Tamandua tetradactyla: one gene and its partner. The protein of the gene in region 2 interacts with the protein of the main gene of each other region in a pairwise test. Links are inferred from orthologs where the notes say so. Each region holds a gene or a part of one and is shown on either strand. Other genes may lie near its edges.

Region 1 (8,194 bases), on a different chromosome or scaffold from region 2:
CCACCACATACCCCTCACAAATACAGCCCGACAGCACTGCTGTCCCATCTATTGGACTTAGCCCCAGGAACTTGGACAAGTGCACATCCCTCACCCACCAGGAGGGAAGCTTGGCATCTCCCACAATGTAGACTGTAGTCTGCTCCCTCGTTTGCTAGGACAGAAGGGAAGGACATGGGGATGCTGAGGCCTAAGGGCCAAGAAGACCAGGGAGCAGGATGGAGGCCCCCTGGCATGTCATAAAAGAGACAGAGGACAGGAGAAACTTGTAAAATGCTACCTTGAGTTCATAATTTTAAGTGGTCCAAGGTCCTGAAAATAATTTCTATTGTAAGGCAAGTGTAGTGAAGCTAAGCTTTGGCTGCCTTAGATCACATCCTACTCTGGGTGTATCCTGAACCCATCACCACTGGGCCTTTCTCTGTCTCCTCCAGCCTTCTCAAACTAAAGCTCAAGAAACACACAGGAGGTTTTGGTGTAATGGATAGGGAAAAGGAGTGGGGCTGTCACTAGCAGCCTATAAGAAAACTGCCCACAGCTAAGCAATTGTCTCCCTTTGATATTTTTAGGCCTTGCTAAAGGAAGTGGCACAAAGGCTTGAGGGGAGAAGAGGATAATAAGAGATCTGAATTCTATTTTACTTTCTCCCTTTGTACATAATCAAGGGGAGAGGCTGCTGTGCCAGTTTTTGTCTGTATGTGTGTTTTTTTCTCCTGTTTCTGAGCTGTAACTGTTTAAAAGAGAAAGAGGCAGAAAAGGTCCTACAGACCAGAAATAACTTCTTCAGTGCCCCATCCTGGCAGCTTAGACATGTTCACAGTAGGTGCAGTAGGGAATGAAGAGAGAACCCCACAAAGTTGCCTAGATTAAGTATGGTTCATTGCTGGGCTCAAAAGGCTTACTGTTGGGAACCATCCCCATTCACCTCCTGCTTTGGGTACTGTCACATATGTTTGCCCCAACCTGCCTGACAGCCAGTGAAGTTTACATATAATCATCTGAGGGGGAGGGAAGTTTTCCTGTGTGCTGGCTCCACAGAGTTCCTGTGAGACAGACAGTGGTGGCTTATGCAAAGCTCATCCAGAAGGCTGAGAACAGGTGGGGATGGATCATAACACAGGCCTTCATAGACTCACCATTAAGCTGGTCACGATGCACTGACTGATGGCAAAGGAAAACCAACATGGTAACACACAACCCTTCTCATTCATTACCTCAGTCATGCCTACCAGTCACTCATCAGCAACCTGTCTGTTCTGCCAGATAACCAGCAAGGTGGACAGTGTGGGCCAGTGAGACAGAAGGGATCCAGCAGTGGTAGTCTGGAATGTCCCGTTTGGGGAGATAGCTGACATCATCTATATCAGCTTCATTTTTGCAGCGGCGAAACTCAAAGAGCTCGCGTGGGTATCACAACACAGCCATCATAAGATACGAAGCCCAGCTAGTTGTTTGCAAAGATGTTATCAAGCTTCCCTGGCTGGCTGGTTGATAACCACATAAGGCAGTGCATATCTACAGCATCGTGTCCTTGGCATAGAAGCAGTGGCAGGCAATGCACTTGGAACATGTAACACACTGCAGAATAGCATGAAGACTAAGAGGAAGCAAAAGAGCAGTCATGTGGGTGATAACCTCGCAAGTGCGTGTTGAGGATCTAGAAAAATTAAAGGACAAAATCCTGTACGATGAGAAAGCAGATGAAATACTGCATGCTGTTGGCCAAGCACAGGTCCAAGAGGTGATGGTAAGGAAACTTGTGCAGGAGCTTCTCACAAAGGCAGGACTTAGCCAGACTGGAATCTGAAGGACATCGGGTTCTCCACTGGCTGTCTTGCTGGGCCTCTCATTCCTCTGCGGGCCCCTTCACCCATCAGGTAGTATTGCAGGGGATTGGGCCACAGTTCATCCTTGATGATCTCAGCAATCTTGTCGAATTCTAGGAGATTGTGGTCTGAGAACCAATCGAAAAAACTGTGGATACTGTTTCCCTGCCGGTTCTTGTGGATATGGGACTGGGGGTCTTGGCCCCGGTGCCATCGGATTGGGGTGGCAAGAGATACCACGCGGCCAGAGGATCTGCGCTCATATTCCTTGACGAGGCCCTCATTTCGGAAGTAGGGGTTACCCTGAAAGATGAACTTGAACTTGCAGCCTGCTCTGGGATGTTTAAGCTCCTCCACCTCCAAATTGGTCATGAACTTAAGCATGTCTTCATCTTGGCCACTGATCATGGGTGAAAGCTGGGGGTGATTCCGAAAGGCGGTGACCCAGAAATTTGGGATATTCTGGATAATGAAACTCCTGCGCTGCATATGGAGCCTTCGCATCCGGCCAAACTTGCGCTCCAGCTGAAGGAAGGCCCTGTCAGCCTGGGCATTAACATTTGACAGCTCCTGATCGATGGCCTCCAGTGAGTCCATGCAATTATTCTCCTTCGGGACCCTGGGCCCATTCTTCTCTTTCACATCTTCTGCCACCTTTTTCTCCTTCGGAGCCACCTTCTTTTCCTCCACCACCTCCTTTGCTTCTCCCTGGCCCTTGACCGCAGCCGCGGAGGTGGCACCCTTTTTAGTCGTCGCTTCCTTTGCCTTCGCCCCAGCCATCATCTGAGCCCTACAGCCCACTGCGCCACACCCCACTGCGCCACAGGCTTCCGGGCCCTTCTTCCCACCAGGACCCCGCGGCTCTCCGCCCTGACCGCCATTTTTCTGGCTGCTGCCATTTGCCACCGAGGCAGAGGCTGCTTCAGAGCGCCCGGATTCCTGCCCGGTTTTGGTAGGTGCATGGCTGCGGCTCCCGGCAACTCGGAAACGGAGCGCGAAACCGCACTCCGCAGAGTCGCGGGATGCGCCCCCCTCCGCCGCGGCCTCCAAGCTGCCCCTGCCCATCTCCGCCATCACCTGTATGGCCTTGGCTTCTTCACAGATCCTCCGGCACTGCTGTTGGTCCGGCTCCCCCGCGGCACGGTTGGAGGTAGAGAGGCCGCGAGGTCTAGGAACAGGAAATTTATTGCCTCCATCCAGACCGCTCATTTTGGCAGAAGTGAGACCACCACGAGAAGAAGAATGGAGGAGAACGTCCTTTCTCTTCGGTGGAAGCGGCTACCGCAATGGCCACTCGCACCACCCCCTTGTTCGTGCTGGCTGACGTTGCCATGGCAACCGGTGCCGTCAAGACTGCGGCATCCTAACACCGCGAGATCTCGCGCCACCTGGTGATTTCGCGCCACCTGGTGATTTCGCTTGTCATCCCAGCGTATTCCTTTGTCTTCTTTTCACAAAATGTTATTGAGTTTAAACAGTCTGGACAAGAGCTTTAACTTGCAGAAATGTATGTTGGCCAAATTCAGGCCTGTGAGAACCGTGTTGATGAGGATTCCTGTGGCTCTGAATGAAGACCTCAGTGCTTCTCATGAGTAAATAATGGATACAGCCACTAGGAGGCCTTCCTTCTTCAATGTACGGCTTCCTGGCGAAGACCCAAGACTTTAGATAAGCAGAGTTTGATTTTTAAGGAAATCAAGTGTCGTAATGTTAAATGTGATAACATGCAAGATTAGGAGCAGCAGCTATGGAGAGATAATTAACGAGTTATTTAAACTTGTCTTACAGAATTTAAAGATGATGTACTTTGGCCAAAGTCTAGAAGCAATTGGTCAGCATTTCCTCTTTATTTTTAACTAATATGAGTAGCAAAATGTTGTCTTTTCTTTACTTAGAGATGACACCCACACACACATGCAGGCAAATTTAAACATTACTGAAAGAAATTACATCTCGGGAATTTAATCTCTACAATGATGCATAATATCTTGCTTATCATATGGTTATAATCTTTATATGAAGGTAGTTCTTGCTGTATAATCAATGTGGGCATGAAGACAGCAAATATTTGCCAGGTTTGTTTCTGTGATAATTAACTGCAAGGCAGAGGCAATAATCAGCTATGTGTGGTCGCCTAAACTATTAGTCAATCCTGTTTTAATCAGTTAACTTATAGTATTCATTTGATAGTGATGTCACTACTATTTTTTATCTGTGTTAGCTTGTTGGCTGTGAATATACTGGCATTAATCCTTAGAAAAATGCAAACCAGAAAAAAAATTAAATTTTGCTTATTTATGCTTAACGTCTTAAATTCATATTTGAGAAATGATTATGATTATAATTTTTTATAATAGAAGCTCCCCACAGAAAGACCGGAGATTATAATCTCTTTCAAATAAGGGCTCAAAAGTGGATCCAGTAAGAAGTAGGGATTCACTTATCTGGAGACTTCTACTGAGGGAAGTAGGGCAGACCTGGTCTGCCTCAATATGAGATGCTGATGGACAGACACTTGTCACTGAGCTCTGGGGTTAACTATAGAGGTTTTTCAGAGAATTTTAAATAATTGAGATTTTTTTCAACTTCTACTCAAAAGGTGTGCCTTCTCAAAGGCACTGACCTCTTCATTGGCTATTAGCTAGTCAGTTATCCCATAAATGTGCAAATAAGATTCACTCTTCCCAGACTGCAGTTATTTTTTCTTGTAACCCAAGCCAAGATGCAGAGAAGCAAATGCTGAAGGAAAGCTAATTTTCCAGGAGTGGGGAGGAAGGTGCGGTGCTGGAGGTGAGGGGGTGCTGGGGGAGTGGAAAATGTGTTTGCTATTTGCAAAAGAAAATTATACAATTACATAGGGCTGATATCTTAGAACTTTTTTTTACTTGACATACCTTCCAAAATTTTAAAAAGCTGTATATGGCTGCTACTTGAAACATCCTGCCTCTGTGATTATTCCTGTCACCTGTATCATATTCCACTTTCATAAAAGTTTGCTCATTTTTAAAACTCAGCTTGTCTACCTCTTGTAAATTGCAGTAGGCATTTTTAATGCATTAATATAAATGTCAAGGCCCCAGAAATTTCAGAGAAGTCATCTTGCCTGTGATCCTTGTAAAGATTAATTTTATGTGCCAGTTTGACCAGGTTATGGTGTCCAGTGTTTGGCCAAACACTGGCCTAGATGTTATTGTGGAGAGGTATTTTGTAAATGTGATTAGCATCTACAGTCAGCTGGCTTTTAGTAAAGGAGATTACCTTGACTCTGTGGGTGGGTCCAATCAGTTGGAGCCTTAAGAGCAAAGAACTGTAGGTTCCAAACAAAGAAATTCTTTCTCACAACTATGCAATTCACAAGTACACAAGTCCCCTTGGAATTTCTAGCTGCAACCTCCCCACAGGATTTTAACCTCAAGATTTCAACATCGACTCTTACCAGAATTTCCAACCTGCAACTTCTTCTGCATGTTTAGAACTCAAGACCACAACATCACTCTTACTGGAATTTCCAGCCTGTAGACCTGCACTACACACGAGTGATCTCACACTTGCCAGCCCTCACAATTGTGAGCCAATTCATTATATACACACACACACATATGAGAACGGTTGATTCTATTTCTCTGGAGAACTCTGACCATTCAGTCCTATATATAGCCCTGTATAATTCCTAACTTGCCTCTTCCCATCTGCTGAATATAACCTTTCTTAATTACCTTACCATTCTGATGATGCTCTGAATTTTATAGCTCTTTTGACTTTTGTCATTCAATTAAGCTATCCTCAACTTCTTAACTTTCTTGGTTGTTTCATACAGGTCATTCTCTTCATCCCAGCTAGAAAAGTATGGTTGTATTGTGACTTCTTTTTTTAGCATCTAACATAGTATAGCCCAGTAACTATCTCATAGAAGGTTTTAATGAAACTTGATGATTTAACTCAAAAATTTAAAAGGTTTTGCAAATATGAGCACTATGACTTTACTGGTGACCTAGTTTATAAGAGCTGCCAGAATACAATATACCAGAAATGGAATGGCTTTTAAAAGGGGGAATTTATTAAATTGCAACTTTATAGTTCTAAGACTGTGAAAATGTCCAACTTACGGCAAGGTTATAATAATGTCCAAACTAAGGCATCCAGGAAAATGTACCTTGGCTCAAGAAGGCTGATGATTTTCAAGGTTTCTCTCTCAGCTGAAAAGGTACATGACAATGTCTGCTAGCTTACTCTCCTGGCTTCTCGTTTCATAAGGATTCCTCAGGGGCATTTTCCTTTGGCATCTCCAAAGGTCTCTGACTTTTTGGGCTCTGTTGGTTCTGTTGGCTCTAAGCATTTTTCAAAATGGTTCCCTTTTAAAGGGCTCTAGTAAGCAACCCCACCTTGAATAGGTGGAGACACATCTCCATGGAAACCATCTTATCAAAATTACCACCCACAATTGGGTGGGTCATAGCTCTATAAAAGCAATCAAAAAGATCCTGCCCAGCAATATCGAATGAGGATTAAAGAAATGGCTTTTCTCGAGTACATAATAGCTTCAAAATGACAAAACTGGTATTTCATTTTGAGTTGAATGGATGTTGTAACTATGAACCATATTTTACATTTTCGTTTCTTAAAATATAGGATATTTTTGCACACAGTAAACCTGTTCTACTGGCAATTGGCGTAAATCTCGTTACATAGAAAAAGAAACATCAATAGGATATGATTCTATGGAAAAACAGCCACAGAAAATGCCATGAAAATCTATGAGGTAATTTTCATTTGCCAGAACAAGGAATTAAGCAGAATTTCAAACATAATTTAATACAGAACATAAAAACGACTTTACTGAACTGTACAGTGACTACTGGAAAATTTATGAAATACCTCCTATTGTTAGTCTTTTGAACTATAGTTTGTTTTTCAGAATATGTTTATATCATGATTATATAGTCATTATTATATATGATTATATATGAATTATATAATTATTACATATTCATTATTGCTTGTATGTATTTAGTGCTTTCTATACATCAGACACTTAAATGCACTTACCACGGGTGTTATCTCACTTACCCTTCACAATAACCTTGTGAAGTAATAATCTTATGACTTCCATTTTACTTTGCCTTAGAAGGAACTGAGACAAAGAGAAAGAGAGTGACTTATTCAGTCACACAAGTGGTGAAGCCAAGATTTGAACCCAGATAATCTGACTCAAGAGACTGCACTCTCATTCATTGTACTATTCTGCAACACTGTATAATCTATAAAAATGAGAAGGCACTCTCCTAGGAATATAACCAAATGACCATCCAAACATAGCGTTATATTTTCTCCTTTATCTTTCTGCCCCTCTCTCCATTCACAAAGATAGTGATCATTGTTGGGGGCATGACCAATTACTAAAAGGAGAGGTAATAATTCATAATCCTCCAGCTCAATATCTTAAGTCAGTGGTTCTCAATCCATAAAATATGTTTCTTTTTATAACAATTGTTTTGAAATGCTTTAGTTGCTTGAAATTCACATGTAGTATAACATGCCATCATACACAACTTAAAAAATAATCAATGTCCTCTTACTTGTATTAAAGGAGAAATAAAAGTTAAAATTTAAAATATCTATTTCAATATGTAACTGTCTAGACATGTCTACACTGTATGACATATGTAGTTAGATGGTTATACCTATAGAATCACCCATGTATGATACAATTAATTGATGCAACCTGATTTAGATATATTATACCAGAAACATAAGCAGCAATGCTTCTGAAAGTTTTCTGAAATGGTGAGCAACTTTATGATAAAGTTCTGGAAAAAAGGACAAAATTTCCCCAATTTGCATGGTGTTTATCTCTTCAATTCTAAGCCATATGTTTTTTTCACTTTTTAACATCTGACTAGTATGTATGTAGGTAATATGCATATATTTATGATGATGTATCATAAAATTAAAGACATTTTAACAATTGTTGTCAACCTGACAGCTGTCATAGTGTACTTGGCATTGCCTCCTGCACACATGCTAACTTGGTTGTTAGTCCTGCCAGCAGGACTGGACAACTGAAATAGCTTACTCTTTAAGAGCCATTTAAGAAAGGAAATTGGGTATCATTTGTTGTCTGAAAACCTTCTGTAATATCTTCTGGTAAGATATCTTTTGGTAAGAAAGCCCCAGCCACAAAATTTGCAGAAGAGGTGTTAGTGTGTGGTAGACTGAATTATGTATCCTAGTTTAGACATATTCTTAATCCGTATTCCTGTGGGTGTGAACTAGTTATAAATGGAGACATGGTCCAACTGAATGATGGTGGATCTTAATCTGGATTACTGGAGGTTTTATAAGGAGAACTTGAAAGTCATAGACTTTCA
Region 2 (7,941 bases):
ACACACACACAGCAGTTAATGTGGCTGTGAGCAAGCACATAGAAAGCATAGAAGCCATAAAATAATAAACATATGGGAGGTAAAAAAAAAAAAAAGATTATTTGGATGTCAAGGGTAAGCCTTCTTTTTATGGCTATTGCATGAGGATAAATAGTGGGCGTTCTAGCCTAGAGTGGGGTGTGGTCCAGAAGGACTTTGGAAGAGAGCAGAGACTACAGGGTGGGGGTTCTAGATGTGCTGCGTAAGTGGGGAGAAAGTGGGAATCAGGACAAAGACCGAGGAAGGAAGAGACATGGGCTAGTGTGGCTGAGCAGAACGAATGGGGCAGGCAGCCATGTAGGGGAAATAAAGTCACGTCACACAGCAAACAAGAATGCAGGCTGAGGAGCCAGACAGGCCTGGGTTTGAATCCCAGCCCCCGCCAATTAGCAGCTCTATGACCTTGGACAAGTTACTTAATTACTCAGCTTTGGCTTCCTTGTCTTTAAAAGCGGGCTAATAATAGTACTCACATTATAAGGTTGTTGGAAGGATCAACTTAGATAAGGCTTGTAAAACATTAAGTTCTACACCCGCACGGCACGTGGTCATCCCTTAACAAGCAATTTAACAACATCCATAACAAGCAGGCTGCATCCATAGCACCCTGGGGCTCTGTGCTTCCTAAACAAAGCTGGCATAGCTGGCTGGGTCCCTGCCCACCTCCCTACATGTGCTGCTCTTCTCCCAGGCAGTGTCCCACCTGCTAAATCAGCAGCAAATTGAGAGATTCACAGCAAGGAATATCCCACATTCTATCCTGCCTCCTTCCAGATGCTGGGAGCCCCGAGGGCCACAGCTCCCCATCCCACCCACCCCTATGCAGGCAGAGCCAATGCCCTGATGCCAGACCATTGGGTCTGACGTGCCCCCAGGCCCCTGAGGTTCCCTGTGGCTTTGTAGGGTGCTCCCCGTGGCCCACTCTCCTGCGCTCTCTTGGGGTGGCCTCCCTGGGGCCAGCAGCTGAGCAGAAATGTCCTTTGCCATCCTTCTGTCCCACCTGGGTCACAGGAGCTGAAGGTAGGGGTGGAACGCCAGTGGTCTCTGCCTCCACCCATTCACCAGGGCCGGGTCTTCTAGAGCCACCCTGACCTGCTCTGCCCGGCCTATGGGTTCAAGGAGGAGAGATCCACCTTGAGGGTGGGGCAGGGTCATATTTCTTGGGATGCCCCAGAATGTAGGGAACACATAGTTGGAGTCCAGTAAGTGTTTGTTTAATCACTGGGGAGCCTGAGCAATTCTTGCGGCCTGAGTCAGGACTCTAAGACAGGAGCCAAATTCCCATGAGAGAACATGAAGAGGCCCTTGGTTCTGCCCTGTGAGCCGTTTTCAAGGAAGCTGAGTAAAGAAGTTACTGTCAACCCATTCTATAATAATAATAATGATTATTATTATATATATGATTTGTTTAAATGTTTTTTATTGTTAAATATAACATATACACAAAGAAAAGAAAGAAAAAGCAATGATTTTCAAAGTACACTTCAAGAAGTAGATGCAGAACAGATTTCAGAGTTTGTTATGGGTTACCATTCCACTATTTCAGATTTTTCCTTCTAGCTGCTCCCAAACTTTGGAGTCTAGAAGGAAGTTTTTTCTTTTCTGTGAAAAGTAACACATATACAAAAAAGCCATAAATTTCAAAGCACATCGCAACAATTAGTTGTAGAACAGATTTCATAGTTTGGTATGTGTTACAATTCCACCATTTTAGGCTTTTGCTTCTAGCTGCCCTAAGATACTGGAGACTAAAAGAAATATCAGTATAATGATTCAGCACTCATACTTGTTTGTTAAACCCGACCTTCTCCGCATAACTCCACCATCACCTTTGATCTTTCTCCCACTCTTTAGGGTATTTGGGCTATGCCTGTATAATGTTTAATATATATGAGTAAAAAATTATAAGAAAAAAAGGTCTAAAGTATCTTGTGAAGTATACAGAGCTACATACACCTAGTATATTTATGTATTTAATTCTATAAGCAGAAATACCTTTAATTGGTCAGCAGAGGTATCTCCATGCTATTGTTGAGGAAACTGTGGCTATGAGAAAGGTTGTGGAAATGGTCTAAGAGCTCACTGGGTAGGAGTCTATGTCTCCCCACTGTTGTATCACACCATACAGTTAAAAAAAAAATGTACTGGGTCCCAAAATTTGGGCTGCAGGGGCTGGACATGTGAAAGAATCAGGCAGAGCCTCTGGGAGGAGCTAGCCTGAAAGGGGAGCAATGGTCTACCCAGGACTGTGAGATCCTGGGGGGAGGGGGAGTGTGGAGATGTACTGTTCCCAACCTCTCTTCTCACTCGACCCCCCTCTGGGCCAGGCTCCTCTCCTCCCTGGGCTTCAGCCACTGCTTGGATCACAGATCGGCCAGCCTGTGACTCTCCAAAGCTCTCCCTCCAGCCCCTGAACTCCAGAGCTGTGGACGCCATTGCCTGCCGCAGACATTCTACCTGGCAGTCTCTGAGCACCACCAACCCACCCCCAGGTTTGAGGCTGAGATCCCCTCCCCAACACCTGCTCTGCACCCTGTATCCCTGTCTCAGACGGTAGCACTCCACCCAACAGAAGCTGTCATCCTTGGGGTCTCTCTCCCCTAATGTACCCAGCCAGTAAATTGCCAAGTGCTGTGCATTTTTCTCCCTAACAGCTTTCAAATCCAGCCTCCCTCCTCCTTCTCGTGGCTTCTGTCCCATTTGAGGCCCCAACCTCTCCCAGATAACCTCCTAAGCAGACAATGTCCCTGACTTCAGTTTTATCTCCCTTGAATCCATCTTCCTTGCAGTCATTAGAAAGATCTAAGATGCAAATCTATACAGGTCTCTCCCTGCTTCAAAGACTTAAAACCCTTCTGGGGTTCCTTTCTGCAGGGCGAAGTCCAAGTTCCTTAAGGAAACCCCCTAAGATTTGACCCTTCCACCTTCACAGACTCATCTCAGGCCACACTCCCTGCCTCAAAACTTTTACTATGGGGAAGTTGGCCTGCCCATAGAGCTGCTTCAAGAGCCTGAGACCGGTGCAGTTGCATGGGGCCCAATGTGCAAATGGACCCCACGCTTGCTTTACTGAGCAGCTGTGGCTGTCTTGAATTTCTTAGTAATTTTTGAACAAAGGTCCCGCATTTTCATTTTGCCCTGGGCCTCACCAATTACGCTGTTCCCTGAATCCCTCTTGCAGTTTCTGGCCTCCAAAGCTTTGTGCAGTCTCCCCACTGAAACACTCCTGCTTACAATGCCCCCCTTTCTACAGCTCTGCCTTTAAGATCACACTTAGGTGTTATCTGTGTAATGCCTCCCTGACCATCCTCCCTCCCTCTCCAGAGCACCAATCACCTAATCACAAATTGAGCACTGATAAATTGAAAGGGAAAACAGCCCGACAAGTGCCCCAAGAGAGTTACAAACTATTATTGATGGTAAAGAGAGGCAAAGAGGCAAGTTGGCTTTAACATTTTTTTTTCCTAGCTCTCCATCTCTAGGGTAAATTCCAAATATCTTAGCTTGGTTTATCAGTCCGGATTGGCTAAGTTATGCTGCAGTAACAAATTATCCCCAAATCCTAATGGCTTAATACATGGTAAGTTTATTTCTTGCTCACTGTACATATCCAATGCATGCTAGCACGGGCCCTGCCCCACATGGCCTTTCATGGGCCCAGGCTGATGCAAGCTCCAATGATATCGATCCAATGCTGGGTTCCCTGCCTGATGTGCATAACAGCTGATCCCTGACAAAGGGGACTCAAAAAGTCTACCGCTAGGCGGTGCCACGGTGGCTCAGTGGCAAGAATTCTCGACTGCCAAACTGGAGATCCAGGTTTGATTCCTGGAACCTGCCCATGCAAAAAGAAAAAAAAAAGTCTATTGCTACATGGAAAGCAGGAGATCAGATGGCCTATTGGCCCAAAAATCTGTCTCCCCGGGTCTAAGGAGTTCAGGGAGTTTATGGATTCAACCAAGGGAGCTGTTACCATTACAATATCAAGTATAAAAGCAGGGCTGAGACTAGGCTATAATAAGCATTACAATAGTGAGTATTCACAGGGCTGAGACTAGTTGAGTTTCAGTAATTTCAGGTATTAACTTTCAGCTGTTCTACAATATAAAAAGAAAACATCTATATAATGATTCAGTAATCATAATCATTTGTTAATTCTTAATTTCTCCTTTACACCAGCATCTTGGAGCATGTAACCTCGTTGGTCTCTGGAGCGAGGCAAGAAAGCTAAGGGAGAACTCACACTGCCTCTAATGTGCTTTAGCCCCGAACTGACATATGCGCCTTCCGCTTACAGCCCATTGGCTCCCTCCAACTGGAAGAAGACTGGAAAACGAGGGGCGAACATGGATATTTGGTGAGCAGTAACTATCTGTCATACACGACATACAAGACCTTTTGTGATCTACAAGAAAGAAGGATTTTTAATGCCCGTGGAAAACGCCCTCCAGGTTGACGCTGGGACCCTGCATGCGGACTGCGGGGAGGTGACAGCTCCGCGTTGTCCCGGGGTGGAGACTGCGGTTACCGTCCCTCCAGCGCCCCCTGCCGCGATCGCGCCACGGCTACAGCCCCTTCCCAGGCTCCGCCTTCCCATTCCCCGGCCTGAGCCCGCCTTGCTCCTCCCATTGGCTGTCTCCCGTTCTCCCGCCTCTCTCGGTGCAGCCAATCGGAGCCTGGGTGGGGGTGGGGCTTGCGGCCGGGGAGGAGCGTACGCCTCGATTGGCTCATTGGCTCTGCCGAAGGTGGAGACGTAGTCGAAGGAGGCCAGTTCGTGTCTAACTTAGACTCAGCCACCTCAGCGCAGGATTGGTGGTAGGGCGGGGCGGGCTTGGGTCCCCCGGCCGGAAGCGGAAGTAGAGGAAAGATGCAGGTGGGAGTACGGAGGTGGGAAAAGGGGGTGCTGACCTGGGACCCCTGGGCGGTGTCCTGCCGGTCCGTTGCCGACCGGCTATCTCGGCCTCGCCCCCGGGGCAGCCCTTCCTGGCCCTTCGATTTGGCCCCGCAGGGTGACTGTGGGGACTGTGAAATGAGCGCGCGAGTGTCGCACCCCCGGCCCGCGCTGACGCTCCCCTTCCTCCGGTGTTTCCCTCTTAGGACCATCAGGACGTGCCCATCGACATCCAGACCAGCAAGCTGCTCGGTAGGAGGGGGAGCCCTCGCTCAGCTGGCTGTCAGAAGGGGGGCCCGATTCTTTGTCCCCTGTCGCCAAGAGCCAGGAGTCTTGATGCCTGAAGGTCCGGGTTGAGGCATTTGTCTCTCGCCATGTGCCTCATCTGTGGCTGGACCTGTCTCGCTAAGAGAAGGGGGGATAGAATCGAACGTAGAATCTGTACTTCACCTGCCTTTTCTATATTAACATTTAAACGTGTTATCAAGTCATATCATTTAAGTGTAGGGAGGCTATATGACTTACTTTAAAGACATTCGACTGCCAAGTGACCTCCCCGAGATTGGAACTTAAGTGTCTCTAATGGCCACGCTTTCTCAGATATGCCATTCTTACTAGCTTCCATCTCCCTGTGATTTTAGGGGGATTAGGGAAACAAAAATTAGTTGGAAATAAAGACCTTTAATTAGCTAGGCCATCTCCCAACCGCCTCTCTCTGGTTTATGTACCTCTTCCCCAGTTCCGAGTAGGGGAAGGGTCTCTTTATTCTGACCACTCCAGGGTATTTGCACAGCTTCTGCTGTTGTTCATTGCTCAGTGAATTAATGGATACAGTGCCAGTCTTATCATTAAGGTGGTGTCAGGCCTTTGCTTTTAGTTCTGTGAGTGTGGGACCACAGTATTTGATGAGTTGGCAGATTTTAGGGCCATCTACTAAGACCTGTGCAGTGGCCTATAGAAGAGCTTCTTTAGCCTCACTTCAGATTTGTTCTGACTCTTTTGTACAAGTGCACTCTTGCTGTGTGAGCTCATCGTTGGTTATGAAAAGGACAAATAAAACAGTATCATTAATTGAGGGCTTGATGTATGCCAGACACTGTTTTAGGCATTTACTGTTATAAAAATAAGGATCACTGAGGTTTACTGAGTCCTTGCCAGGTGTCAGGCACAGTCCAGGCTTTATTTGGACTCAGTACCTTATTCTCTCCATTTTACATGTGGGGAAACTGAGGCAAAGAGAGGTTGAGAAACTAGCCCAAGAAACTGTGGAAGCCAGACCCATCTGATCATAAAGCCTAGCTCTTAGCTCTCTCCCATTGAAGACTGGTGTGCACAGCTCAGTCCACCCATACCTCTTATGAAAAGCACAGGTCTAAGCCTAGATTCTGGAAGGTCAGGCCTGTTGACATTTATATATATGGGACAGTACTTCACTGTTGAGACTAGACCAGTGTTATCTAGTTCTTAGGTATTAGGGGCTTTACAGATGGTCATTCATCTGGAACTTGGCATAACCATCTTGTGTTTTGCATTGTTGTGGTTAATTCCATCCCTGAGAAAGTGGAATGACTACCCATGGAAGCAGAAATACTATGGAGAATTTAAGTGGTCAAACTGGCGCTTTTATATCAGGACCAATTTAAAATTTTCTGTCTCTCTGTGTTGAGGCACATGCTCTATAAAAATCACACTGAAGACAAAATCAGGTTGCCAGGGTTTGTTTAGCCCCAAGCATCCCTTTGGATCTGTCTTTCCAACCATATTCCCCTGACCCCCAATCCTTAAACAGGATGAAGAAAATCTAGCTCTTGTCTCAGCCTATCTCATTTGGTGCTGGGAGTGGGGCTGCAATGATTTGGGTGTTTCTCGATAGACTGGCTGGTGGACAGAAGACATTGCAACCTGCGATGGCAGAGGCTGGTGCTGACGATCCGAGAGAAGATCAACGCTGCCATCCAGGACATGCCGGAGAGCGAGGAGATTGCCCAGCTGCTCTCTGGCTCCTGTGAGTGCTTCAGTACTGTTACCGGGGTCTCCCCTCTCCCAGAGCTGTCTGTATCAGCTGAGCCATTCTCTTGTTGTTTAGCTCCTGGGCTGACCCCTAGAGAGATATTTTGTTTTTTTAATTTATTTATTTATTAATTAAAAAAAAATTTAACAACAAACAAAAACATTAACATATGATCATTCCATTCTACATATATAATCAGTAATTCACAATATCATCACATAGTTGCATATTCTTTATTTCTTAGAACATTTGCATCAATTCAGAAAAAGAAATAAAAAGACAACAGAAAACGAAATAAAACAAAAACAGAAAAAAAAAAGATTATACATACCATACACCTTACCCCTCACTTTCATTGATCACTAGCATTTCAAACTAAATTTATTTTAACATTTGTTCCCCCTATTATTTATTTTTATTACATATGTTTTACTTGTCTGTTGACAAGGTAGATAAAAGGAGCATCAGACACAAGGTTTTCACAATCACACAGTCACACAGCTACATCATTATACAATCATCATCAAGAAACATGGCTACTGGAACACAGTAGAGAGACATTTTTATTTGAGGGTGTCAGTGCTGGTTTCTTCCAGCACCATATGATGACGGGAGAGTCGACCACATGCCAACGGCACTGTAATTCTCAATGTCTTCACTCTTCCTTGATTTCCAGACATCCATTATTTCCACTGCCTAAGAATCGTGGACCTTCTCAAAGGCACTGAGGCCTCCACGAAAAATATTTTTGGGTGGTACTCTTCACAGCGAATGCAGGCAAGTATGGGCTGAGGACTGGTGATGTGCCTCCAGCCTGCAGGGTTAGAGCCTTTCTCATTTCTCTGAGGATCCAGTGGGAGGCTCCTTTGTAGAATATTTCCTGAGCTTTCTCTCTGTCCCCATAATTTATGCCAAAGGTAGATCTTACCCCTGGGTTTAAATTTTCAGATCCACTGCTTTGGGAATTGCTTGTTGGCGCCCCACTCTTAAAAGAAAGTGG

The links.
Region 1: the proteins of CDK5RAP3 (region 2) and TSPYL4 interact in binary tests that used the Homo sapiens proteins (3 or more experiments, as listed by UniProt). The two-hybrid records come from large-scale screens. The link is inferred for Tamandua tetradactyla from reciprocal best matches to the Homo sapiens genes CDK5RAP3 and TSPYL4.

What each region holds. Positions count from the first base shown.
Region 1 is NC_135331.1:175,370,435-175,378,628, forward strand, and holds the start of TSPYL4 (testis-specific Y-encoded-like protein 4), read right to left. Parts: upstream 3,168-8,194; 5' UTR 3,036-3,167; coding exon 1,788-3,035; 3' UTR 1-1,787.
Region 2 is NC_135332.1:29,256,497-29,264,437, forward strand, and holds the start of CDK5RAP3 (CDK5 regulatory subunit-associated protein 3), read left to right. Parts: upstream 1-4,786; 5' UTR 4,787-4,906; coding exon 4,907-4,912; intron 4,913-5,136; coding exon 5,137-5,182; intron 5,183-6,803; coding exon 6,804-6,935; intron 6,936-7,617; coding exon 7,618-7,718; intron 7,719-7,941. UniProt on the Homo sapiens protein: Substrate adapter of E3 ligase complexes mediating ufmylation, the covalent attachment of the ubiquitin-like modifier UFM1 to substrate proteins, and which is involved in various processes, such as ribosome recycling and reticulophagy (also called ER-phagy).